Linked DNA regions of Drosophila melanogaster. The protein of the gene in region 2 purifies or fractionates together with the protein of the main gene of each other region. This does not show direct contact. Each region holds a gene or a part of one and is shown on either strand. Other genes may lie near its edges.

Region 1 (5,276 bases), about 12 Mb from region 2:
TCCAAATTGGGTTAGTTGGCTTAGTGTCGGCATGAGTTAGGGCCACCAACATGGCCATAGCTTTGGAAATGATCTGGGGCTCGGGACAATGCCATTACAAATCAATTTGGCTAAGACTGTGGCTAACCGTTCTGTGAACCAATAAAAACTAATCCAACGAGCTGGTCAAAAAGACAAAGGCATCACCGTCGAGCTGTTGACCACTGATTTCGCGATTCGGATGAGTTTCAGTTTCCCTTCGACCGGGAACGGTAACGGACGCATTCGAAATACTATATAGTAAGCCCGACGAACATATTGTATACAGCAATGCAGTGGCAATTGTTTACTGCCCTAGTGCTTTTTGTAGCATGGAGTTGTCCTTCGCAAGGAGTAAGGATATCCGCAAACGAGATGGAGCGACGCTTGCCGCAAAAGCAGGCAAAGATTGGGTGAGCAAACGTTGACGACTAACAATGAAGTTTTGATTTTCGACAGATATGACATTTATATAACCACTTTTTGGTATTTTCTGAACCTTATTTAATCCAATAATTCATAGTAGATTATTATTGCATATTATAGATATCACATAAACAATTCAAACAACTATATGCTTATATAGGATACATTTTTTTATAAAACAATTATATTTGAGTTGAAAAAAGTATAACTATGACATTTTAAAGTTAAACTTTGAACGAAATTTTTATTCTAGCTCCAGAAACTATCCCATCGAGTATGTCCTGTTGCCGAGTGCTCGTGGTGGATACAGAAGGCGCTATATTCATAGTCTGGGAAAAGCAGCTCCTACAACAACTGAACGCCCGTTGGTTCGTGTTTGGAATAGCTTCGTCCGCAGTGTTCAGCCCGCTTTCAGTTTCCGTAACCTGACCAATCCGTTGGCCAACTTCTTTAACGATGGCAGTACGAACATCATCGAGACGTCGCCGGTTTATCTGCAGTCCTACGATGAAGATCAGGAGCTGCAGCTTGAGGAACCAGCTCAAGTGGCCTCACAGGCTACCAAAAAACGCAAGCGAAAGCGCCGCAAGCAACAAAAGCGCCGACCGAGCTACGACTCGGCGGAGAACGATGATGCCTACAGCCCTTACGATCCCTACTTTGTGCCACCTTCTCCGCCGCGGTCCGCCGAGCCGATGTTCTTCTACGACACCAATTCCGGTAGCTACTACGGAGTACAGCGCTTCAGTCCTCAGGATTTCCAATCTAATTTTTACGGCAGCTTTTTATTCCGCCGCCTAGGGAGGCAGAGGATGTGGAAGGCGAGCATGAGGAAGAGGCGCCCGTAATGAGAAGACTCGGAACCAGAAAGGTGACCCTACTTCGACCACTGCCCCTATTGTCGGCCAAGGGCCAATCATTGACGAAGCTATTAGAAGTCAGCAAACCGGAGCATCCCATTGAGAATGAAGATGCAGCAGAGGAAACAGACAGCAGCGCACCGAGCGATGCACCGACTAGCGATGACGACGATGGTGATGTCGAAGCCCATTCACCGCTCTCCGAGAGCATGCGCAATACTCTTGGCACGTATATGCGCGACGATAGCCACACCCGCCAGCGCCAGAGACTCGCTAGCGATGCAGCAGGGGCTAACGATTCCGCCGCCAAAGTTTCGCCACGCCATCATCAACGACACCTTGCCCGGCTGAGCTCCTGGTAATCCATGCTAAGCTATAAACTATAAACTCTTTACTTATGGATGATCGTGTATTTATCGTATGTTACGTGCGAGTTAGGATGGGGAATGCATGATAATGAGGTGGCAGCTGTAAAATAGATTAGATATTCAAATAATTTTACTAGTTTCGCCTTAAAGATAGTGAGATAGACATCGAACTTACTATACTAGAAAACACAAGTAATTTGCTAGATCTGGGGCTATTGGACACGATCAGACGAGCCGCGTTAGACGCGAAGCGCTGCCGGCATTGGGATCTACAGGCAGGGCTACATGGTCAACATGCTGCACATTGCGGAAGTAAGCGTGCTGCAGTGCGTCCTTGGCTGAGATGCGCAGGTTGGGATCATAGCACAGCATTGACTGTAAGGTACAGAGTAGTGGATTTCCATTGGGGATGTACATTTTCTGCACTCACCATTATGAGTTCGTGCGCCTCGTGTTCGGTTATGGGTTGTGGCATGTTAGTTCCCTCCCATCTAGGGAACTTGGTCTTAAAGTCTGGCAGCTGCGTCACACCAGGCCAATTTGTTTCATCAGGTGTGCTTAAGGTACGGAAAATCCTATAAAGTTGATCGATCTCGCTGTCTCCAGGAAACAAGGAGCGGCGCATAATCTGTAATTCTAGGTTTAGTAATCAGATCCGCTTGGAATGTACATTCCATATAACACTACCATTTCAGAGAAAATGCAGCCTAGACTCCAGATGTCCACGCCCGTGGAGTAGAATTTCGTGCCCAACAGAATCTCTGGAGCTCGGTACCAGAGGGTGACGACTTCGTGTGTGTACGCCCGCATAGGCACGTTGAAGGCCCTTGCTAGGCCAAAGTCAGCCAACTGGAGTTGGAATTCGTTATTATCACAGAACCAACAGCGGGTAAAACCTTTAGTCTCACCTTTATTTTGCCCGCCGTGTCTACGAGAAGGTTCTGGGGCTTGAGATCGCGATGCAGGATACGATTCGTGTGGCAAAAGCCGACGGCATCTAATATCTGATGCATATAGCTCTGCAAAGTGGCAATGTGAAAATATTTTAATGGGCTGCAAACTAGTGTACTTACCTTTATCAACTGAGGGGTGAACACGTCTTTTTTCTTATCCATCAGCTTCTTTAGATCCATGTTCAGGTACTCGAATATCATGTACAGATTGTTGCCGGAAATGACTACGTCAAATAGTTGGACCACATTTGGGTGCTTAAGGTTCTTCAGCAGGGAGATCTCTCGAATGGCCGTCGAAGGAACACCCTCCGTTTCGCTGTGAATCGGAATTATGCTATTAAATAAAGCTAAATACTGGCAATCGTGATTACCCGTTTGCTAGCAAAAACCGATGATATCCTGTACCACGAAGCCGAATCATGTGGTGCTACGGATTACGGAAACGGCGCAGCTCCCACATAATTCGGGCTGCGGGGTGCAGGTGGATGACATTCGTCAAGGATAATATGTCCATATGTCACATAATATTTCCTATGGTTGCCATGAACAGCATCACAGTCCTGCTCCACCTGGATTACGCACCCTTCTAGCCGAATCTTTTTGAGGGCCACATCCTGGCCGGTGGAGTTGCTACGCGCTTTGTAAACTATACCGTAGGTGCCCTCGCCAATCTTTTCGGCGCGTTGAAAGTTATCTAGAATGGTGGTCATAACCTCGTAAACAATCCTTGAGATCGATGTTGGCAAAATAAACTAATATTTTGGAGGGAAATTCTTCTTCTTTGGTGATGCTAGCCATTCTCATGCAACCGCCGATAAGTCGCACAGCAGCGCCACATATCGATAAGAATTCCTTAATCGATTGTTCTGCGATGTGACAGCTCTAAGGTTGACTACCCCTATTTTAAATGTATTGTTTTCTTCTTTGCACAAAACTTTTAAAATAAAAAATAAAATTAACCGTTGAGACCCGTTAATGCCTATCACAGTTGGATCAAGACATTTAAAATTGATAAATAAAGTTAAAGCAAAAATCGTATTTATGCAGTTTCTTAATGGTTTCTAAATTTACTCTTTTAACTAATTAAATATATGTTTTTAATGAAATGTGACGTTCGTTTAATACGTTGATTCTCGCCTCTATCCAATTAATGTAGGGTGCGATGTACATGAAAAGATCTGCTCCTGAAAAAACCGAATCAAATTTGGCCAAGAGCTGCCGGATAATATAGTACTGTCTCGGTTCCCCATTTACTAGGCGAACTCCTGCCAGGATAGCGTCTGGATGCAAAGGAGCTCCGCGGATGGTCCTTCCAAAGACACTAGAATAAGGGTCTTTGGTCCTTCCATCCACGCAGAGAGCTGGCGCTAGGCCACGACGCGGATTGAGCAGTACGACGGTGCAGCGATAGCAGGTGGTAAATTGATTTCCATCCCTGAAGAGTATACGTCCCAGCCAAGGATGCTCATCCTGTTCCGCGAATGTTTTGTCGTTGTAAAGCTGATTTTCCAACGGTCTTCCACAGCGCTGAACTTCAGTGATTATACCAGTGGCTTATAAGTATAAATAAAGAAAATTGGTAGATAAGCATAATAAAGTAATTGGGTTACATCACTTACGCATAACCAGTATAACCAGTAGAACCTCGCTTACTGTCATCTCGCTCACAACAAAGTATTTTCCGATCGAGGAAATCACAATGATTTTGCACACTGAGAACAATAACCTCTTGCAGATAAAGTGTGAAGGTGTTTCTTATTGTCGCAATGCAATCTACTTTTCCAACAGGTATTTAGTTAAGTATGTACATACAATATGTGTGAAGAGGACTCTTTAACTTTGAATGAAACTTTGTTCTGAATTTAATGATTAGTAAATGCCATTTATCTACTATTTTCAATCATTTTTACATTTCTTCCGGACACTTAGTTATAGACTAAGATGGTTCCCAATCCAATTATTGGTATCTTGTGGTTTCTTTCGTACTGGCCGTGCGTTGATATTCACAAAAGATGCCAAGCTTCAGATCCATCTACAATTTTCATCCCAAATAGAGCTGCACCAGTTAGGAAATCTTTATCCTGGTGTACGCACGCACTCGTGACTCTGGCCAGGGTATGAAGGCTTTTCGGATGCTTATCCACCAGCGTACTGACCACATTGAATAGTCGGGCGATCACGTCATGGGAATCTGTATCCTCCGATACAGACAAACAGGATCTCAGTTGGGAGTTCAGTTTAAGGACGGCAACATCGTAAGACGGAACGATACTCTGGGTGAATAAAAAAGGCGACTTCTGTTTCCAAACATAAAGCTGTAGGCATCGCCCTTATCCAGGAATATAACACAGTGAGCAGGCACAAGGACATGGTTACGGCCACTCCGGAGCAGGGATACCACACCCAACCAGCTGACCTGGTGTACCTAATCCTGCCCAGCCAGTTGAATTGCTCTCGACTATCTTCTCGGTTTACTGGTCTTGCACTCGATCATTTTCTTGAACTGCTGGCCAGAGGAGAAGGGTCTTTGAGAATAAAGGCGGGGATCAGCGAGATTTAAATGCAATGCCTACTTCCTAGAGTCATTAACGATAATGTGACCAAAATAGCAGCCAATTTGAATGAGAGCATATCGCCATGCATTCCGTTTA
Region 2 (6,009 bases):
TTGCACCCACGCTTATCTACCGAGACAGCTACCCGCGCACCTCCCACATCCGCTGGAAGTTTGCCCTGAATCGACTGTTGGAGGTGGTGGCCATAGCCTTCCTGTACGCGTTCATCCATGAGCGGCACATCCACGAGCACTTCGGACAGTACGGACTGGAACCAATGGGACCCTCCCAGCTGATCCTCAAGCTGTTCGGCATGATGCTGCCCAGCGCGGTGATCTTTCTGTGCGGCTTCTACCTAATCCTGCACTCGTGGCTGAACTTCACGTCGGAGCTGCTACGCTTCGGTGATCGAATGTTCTACAAGGACTGGTGGACGTCGCACACTTACGATGGCTACTACAGAAACTGGAATGTCGTCGTGCACGACTGGCTGTACGAGTACGTGTACAAGGATATGTACACTCATGTGTTCCGAGGTTCCAAGGTGGCCGCCTCGCTGGCAGTGTTCATGATCTCCGCTGTGGTCCATGAGCAGGTTCTCGGCTTTGCCCTGCAAATGTTCTTCCCAGTGATGTTCTTCTTCTTTGGGGTCGTGGGTGTTGCCTTGGTATTCCTAATGCGGAGTGCTCCAAAAGTGATGGGCAACATCTTTCTGTGGTTCTCTCTGATCCTGGGAAATGCCACGCTGATCTCACTATACGCCATGGAGCATTACGCCCTAAAGAACTGCAACCTAAGCAACGAGAGTTGGACGTATCGCCTGCTGCCGGCGGTATGGCGCTGCTACAATTAGTCAATTAGTTAAACACTACTTTTAAACTGTCTGTACACAGGGCGTACGCTTCGATTTGTATTTTAGGTAAATAAACTTAATGAAATTAACAGAAACGATGTCTTCAGTTCGTTTCGTGTCTTTGAACTTCCCAGCTGAACCCTAAAGCTATGGTTTCTTATTTTACATCAGGCTGCCTGATGCTAACTTATGAAATACTACGTGAGCATTGACGAGTGCGTCCTTGGAAGAGCATTCCTCGGCGGCATGGCATCCTCCGCCTAACCGCAGAGATTCGCGATGGCCTGAGCCGCATTAGCGGCTGCCACCTGTGGAGCGTCCTCTGCCGGAATGCGTTTGCGTCGGAATAGAATCACATGCGGCTCCGGCGCGTGGACCATGTAGTGCACCCAGCCGGGGCTCTGCTGCACGCCCAGGTTGCGCCACTCCGTCTCGGTCATCAGATGAGCCTTCGGCACATGTTTGGCCAAATCCGGTGGCAAGATAACATGCCTGCAGGGAGGGAAAGTGGTTTGTGTGTAAACAAACAGTTCACGGATGCTGAAACGCAAGTTGAACGTACCTGTATTCAAAGTTGTCGTCGAAGTACTTCTCTGAGTATTGAATTTGATCGGCCGGCATTGCGAAAAGCCAGAAAACCTGAGGTAAATTAAGCAATTTTACCAAAATAGGTCAATAAATTCAGATAGATATGCCACAACTGATTCGATTCTAAATACTATTGTTATCGCTGCACGTATCGAACATAAAGTTATCGATTTGGTTATCAGCTGTCCAGTTAACAGCACCTTTGGCGGTAAACTCAAATGTACTGTTTTTAATGGCACGATCTTAGCGGGCTTTAATATATTGAACATAAACTTTTTTCTGTATAACAATATTTTTGCAATGTTTAAAGCCATTTTAAAGCCATTTTGTTAAAAAAACGAGTACTTTGTAAAAAGATGCTGTTAGAAAATGTTAACATATTTAGCGAATGAAAAACTCAATTGGATAATATGTGATTTCCAGTGTGACCGGAACTCGCAGGCTCGCACATTTTCCAAATGCAATCGGCAATTTCTCCGTTACTCGCCCATGGCCACATTTGTGCATGTGCGTTTGAGGTTCCTTTCCTTTTTATATAAGCCCCTCGTCTCTTGCCAACAAACCAACAACAACAACAACCAGCCAGGCCAGCGGGCAACAACAACGCACAACAACGCGTATAAATAAACGTGAACGCATGTACTTAATATTAGCATAGAGTTGTCGCCTGCGTGCATTTCATATACATAACATAACATCCACTTACTCCCATGACAACGGGACTTTAGACAGTAACGGTGGAGCAGCTAGAAGAAGAGGAAAGGCGAAGTAGAACGGGAACAAGAAGAAAAAGCAGTGGAAGAGGTGAGGACGATACGTAAATACAGTCAAACTTCCATAAGTAGATACGACTTTACTACTACAATAAAAAGTGTCCTTTAGTGATGAAGAAAATGGGTTCTAAGAACCTAAAACCTTTATGTATATGTACTCCCTATTGTCGCTTAATGAATTTACCGTTACGGTATGCTAGTAAATAAATGCATACAATGTACATATGTAGATACATAGGCACAGCAAAACCACCTATAAATTCGATTGATTTTATGAAGTTCTAGTTGAGGAAGTTTGACTGTATGTATGCGCGCATTGGTAAATACGAGCAGACCGCAATTAGCAAATATTTTTCAGTCCAGCAGGTATCACTCACCACGTACCGCCCAAAGGTCCCAATGCTGGCGTAGAGAAGCCGAAACACCTGCTGCTGCCAGTGGAAAAGCGGGAGGAGCTGCTCCAAACTGCCCAGGTGACATCCAATCATTTAGAGGCGACGCACCTGCCGCCTTGAGGAACTGGTCGCCACGCAGGAGGACACGGATACGGCAACGGTTACGGACTCGTTTCCGCAGTAGCGGGCACCATGAACGCCAGCCTCATCTATGAGATACTTATGTATCTGAACTCGTTCTACTTTGGCATGTACGCCGCCTTCGAAGTGGGCGTGGGCGTTCTTAAGGCGATTAATCTAAACTACGGCGAGAACGCGTTGTCCCGGGAGGCCAGCATCCTGCTCTCACTGTGCATCATCGAGACCGTGCGCATTGTCTTCGGGCGGAAGAGCAGTCTAAGCGATCGTGGTGAGTAATCCCCATGATCCCCATGTTACTGCAAGGGTGGGAAAAGTCCACCGGCAGCGATGATGACATGGCGAAATTATTTGTTTGCCCGGTCACAATGCCCATTTCATGCCATCCCCCTACCTCCGGGGCCATAACCCATAAACGTTTGGACGGGCATACATACATATATGTATGATGTAGCCCACTCGGCGTATGCGTAATTATGGTCATCACCCCGGATGAAAACACGCGTTTTATGGTGGCAGGGGAAAGGCGCCCTTCTGGCACATTAAGCAATATGCAAAGGAAATCTATCAAAGCGAATCATCGAAATGAGTTATTGGAAAAGCAATTGGAGCTGTTAATATTAATTATCGCAATGTGTAAACATGAAATTATTAGTATAATACTTTAAAACACTGAATCACTTTCAATCGAATACACTTAATTATAAACAAGTAGACGAACTATACGATTTTCCGTGCATCTGTAGCTAACATTTTCCTTGTTTTTCTCTCTTTGCAGGCTGGCAAGCAACCGCATCCGTAATATTAACACTGCCCAGTCTTGCTATTGTTATCTACTTGTGTTGTTTTCAAACCTTTGTTCTCAAACTCGAAATTATTCTGAGTGCCTTAATGATCACCCTACAAGGTGCTGAACTAGTCTACGCCAGCATATTCATTTGTACAATGTGTCGCCCCGTCACATACACCTAGCAGTTGATAAGCCGCGTTGCCGCCGCCACGTCAACGACCAAGATCGAGATCAAGACCAAGCCAGCACTAACACTCCCACCTGGAGGAGAAGGAGTAGAAGCATCCACAGCCGAGCGACGACTACGACGAAGACGAAACACTTTCCTCTGGCAATTTCACATCAAACGATTCGCCAAGGCCTCAAAACTAAGCCACTTAAATGCACACTAAGCCACCGCACATAAAAACAAAACAAAAAATCTAGATCCTACTAGACCTCCTAGGAATCCGTGCCAAGACAACCCGATAACATACCCAATGGCTGGCAGTTGAGGAGGACTTTCAACAAGGTACGTGAACCTTTATAAACTTATATAATCCGCACAGATCATTCGCGCCCGCGGAAATCACATCGCAGCGAAACACGACGCGTCCGATTCTATCAAAAGCAAAGCTGCATTTAATTTGCATTTCTTGGTTGCATTCTTTTGCCCGGCCTTTGTGGCGTTGCCTCCCTGCTGGCGCAGTTGCTCCTCGGACCCGCTCGGTTCTGGTATTTTTATACGGCTCTGATGGTCTAAAATTATATGCGAACTGCACGGCTCGTGCAACACCGCTGCTGTCCCCTAGGTGCAATGTACACTTCTAATTTGAATGTAATATACACGGCCCACTGCGGGCAAGTTAGCCTGACTGTAATGGCCAAGATGAGAGGGCTCTCCGTTTGGTCTTTGGTCTAGTGAACATGCCCTGTACGATTCACAGGAGAGAGATTCACGGGACTTTAGCGAGGCATAACGCTTTGAGTTTTTAAAAATAATTAAAATTCCAACAATGGTTTTCATATATTCACCCTAAACCTATCCTGAATTTCAAGGTAACCATTTAATGGCCCTGGGCCCTGTAGAGCATAACGCCCAGGGAGTTTTTAGTAGTTTTTTCCCCCCAACTAGCCGCCAGTGAAATCATTCTCCCCCACATTTCTAGGCAGGCGATCTGCCGGCCAATGCTGACCCAAACAGCGAGCAGAGAAAACAAATAAAAGGCGACAACGACCAGCAGCACATTATTCAAATAAACAGCACATTTCGCAGCGACAAACCGTGAGACCGCCGATGTCGATGCCGCTGCCGCTGCATTGGCCAAGCACGGCAGGTTCGCGTTATTATTATGGTCAGTCTATAAATACAGTGCCCAACGTGAGCAACGCCGCCGTGTGAGCGATCCGGGAGATCAAATCGGTCCAATTTGCCGTAGACATCGAGGGGTAACAGGAGAAGCAGCAGAAGGAGGTGCTAAGCCGGCAGAAAGATGCCGCCCAAGCGTCCGCCACCGCTCGTGCCGAAGAAGCCAAATCCCAGCATGAACTACGAGGTGTTGATCTACCTCAACTCGTTCTACTTTGGCATGTTCGCCTGTTGCGAGATGGCCATGGGCCTCCTGAAGGCCATCAATCTCAGCTACACGGGACATACTCTAGCCCTGGACACGGGGGTGATGATTAGCTTCATTGTCTTTGAGACGATCCGATTGATAATGGGGCGCATGAGTTCGCTGGCCGATCGAGGTAGAAGCTCCCGCCTGCTGGCTGGTCTAATTATAGGATATTCTAAAACAATAGAATCATCCTCAATGGCGTTATCAATCGTTTAATCAAACCAAACCATTAGACTTAAGAAATACTAATTAACTCATTATCATCCTTATTTATAATTGTAATAGAATAGTATCTATGGCTTTTACAATCAGATTCTAATGAACTCTTCTGCTTTTCTATCACAGGCTGGTCGGCCATACTGTCGGTCTTCATGACCGCCCCCTGCTTTGTGGGCGTCTCCTATCTACTGCTGCTCCAGACCTACCGACTGCGCCTGGAGTACTGCCTGTGCACGCTGCAGATCGCCCTTTACCTGACCGAGGTGTGGTATGCCATCGTCTTCGTTTTCTCGCTGTGTCGTCCAGTAACTTATGATTAGCCATATAGACAGAAACATCCAACAGCCAACTAGCAGCAAATATACATGCGAAAGTTTAGCAATCTATAAGATCGAAAAAGGATAATATGCGGTGTAAGGAAATTTAATGAATTTGAAAAGCAGTAGGCAGCTGAATTGCTCATGGCCGTGGAGAAGAGAAACCAAACAGAAAGAAAAAAAAAACAAAACAAAACACATATGTAGCATATTAATAATTATGTATAGTAAGGTTTATGATAACATACACACACTCTTATATACATATATTTAACGGTTTTATATACAAAAATTGTTAACATTTAAGCATCAATTGGAACCAATATAAGACAACAAGCAAAACCTAAAACTTGAATAATTTTCACAATTTTAAGATGAAAATTTTTTTGTAAAAAGAAAAATATCGAAAAACAGCCGAAAAACAAATTTGATGTGTGGAAATAATAATTTA

What was found.
Region 1: the proteins of Cks85A (region 2) and Cdk2 purify together in Drosophila melanogaster (affinity purification with western blotting, with the first as the bait; one study listed by BioGRID). This does not show direct contact.

What each region holds. Positions count from the first base shown.
Region 1 is NT_033777.3:20,733,756-20,739,031, reverse strand, and holds Cdk2 (Cyclin-dependent kinase 2), read right to left. Parts: upstream 3,410-5,276; 5' UTR 3,336-3,409; coding exon 3,208-3,335; intron 3,110-3,207; exon of another isoform or gene 3,020-3,109; intron 2,942-3,019; coding exon 2,746-2,941; intron 2,692-2,745; coding exon 2,581-2,691; intron 2,522-2,580; coding exon 2,360-2,521; intron 2,301-2,359; coding exon 2,103-2,300; intron 2,048-2,102; coding exon 1,898-2,047; 3' UTR 1,848-1,897; exon of another isoform or gene 1,773-1,847; 3' UTR 1,667-1,772; coding exon of another isoform or gene 698-1,666; 3' UTR 618-697; downstream 1-617. UniProt on the Drosophila melanogaster protein: Like Cdk1, could play a key role in the control of the eukaryotic cell cycle.
Region 2 is NT_033777.3:8,714,437-8,720,445, forward strand, and holds Cks85A (Cyclin-dependent kinase subunit 85A), read right to left. Parts: upstream 4,021-6,009; 5' UTR 3,901-4,020; exon of another isoform or gene 3,607-3,900; coding exon of another isoform or gene 3,413-3,606; intron 2,906-3,412; coding exon of another isoform or gene 2,689-2,905; exon of another isoform or gene 2,460-2,688; intron 2,133-2,459; exon of another isoform or gene 1,807-2,132; intron 1,444-1,806; exon of another isoform or gene 1,380-1,443; 5' UTR 1,362-1,379; coding exon 1,303-1,361; intron 1,233-1,302; coding exon 1,001-1,232; 3' UTR 764-1,000; downstream 1-763. Other genes in the region: CG8112 (uncharacterized protein), read left to right, coding at 1-740; TMEM216 (transmembrane protein 216), read left to right, coding at 2,689-2,905, 3,413-3,606; CG11760 (uncharacterized protein), read left to right, coding at 4,897-5,152, 5,368-5,561.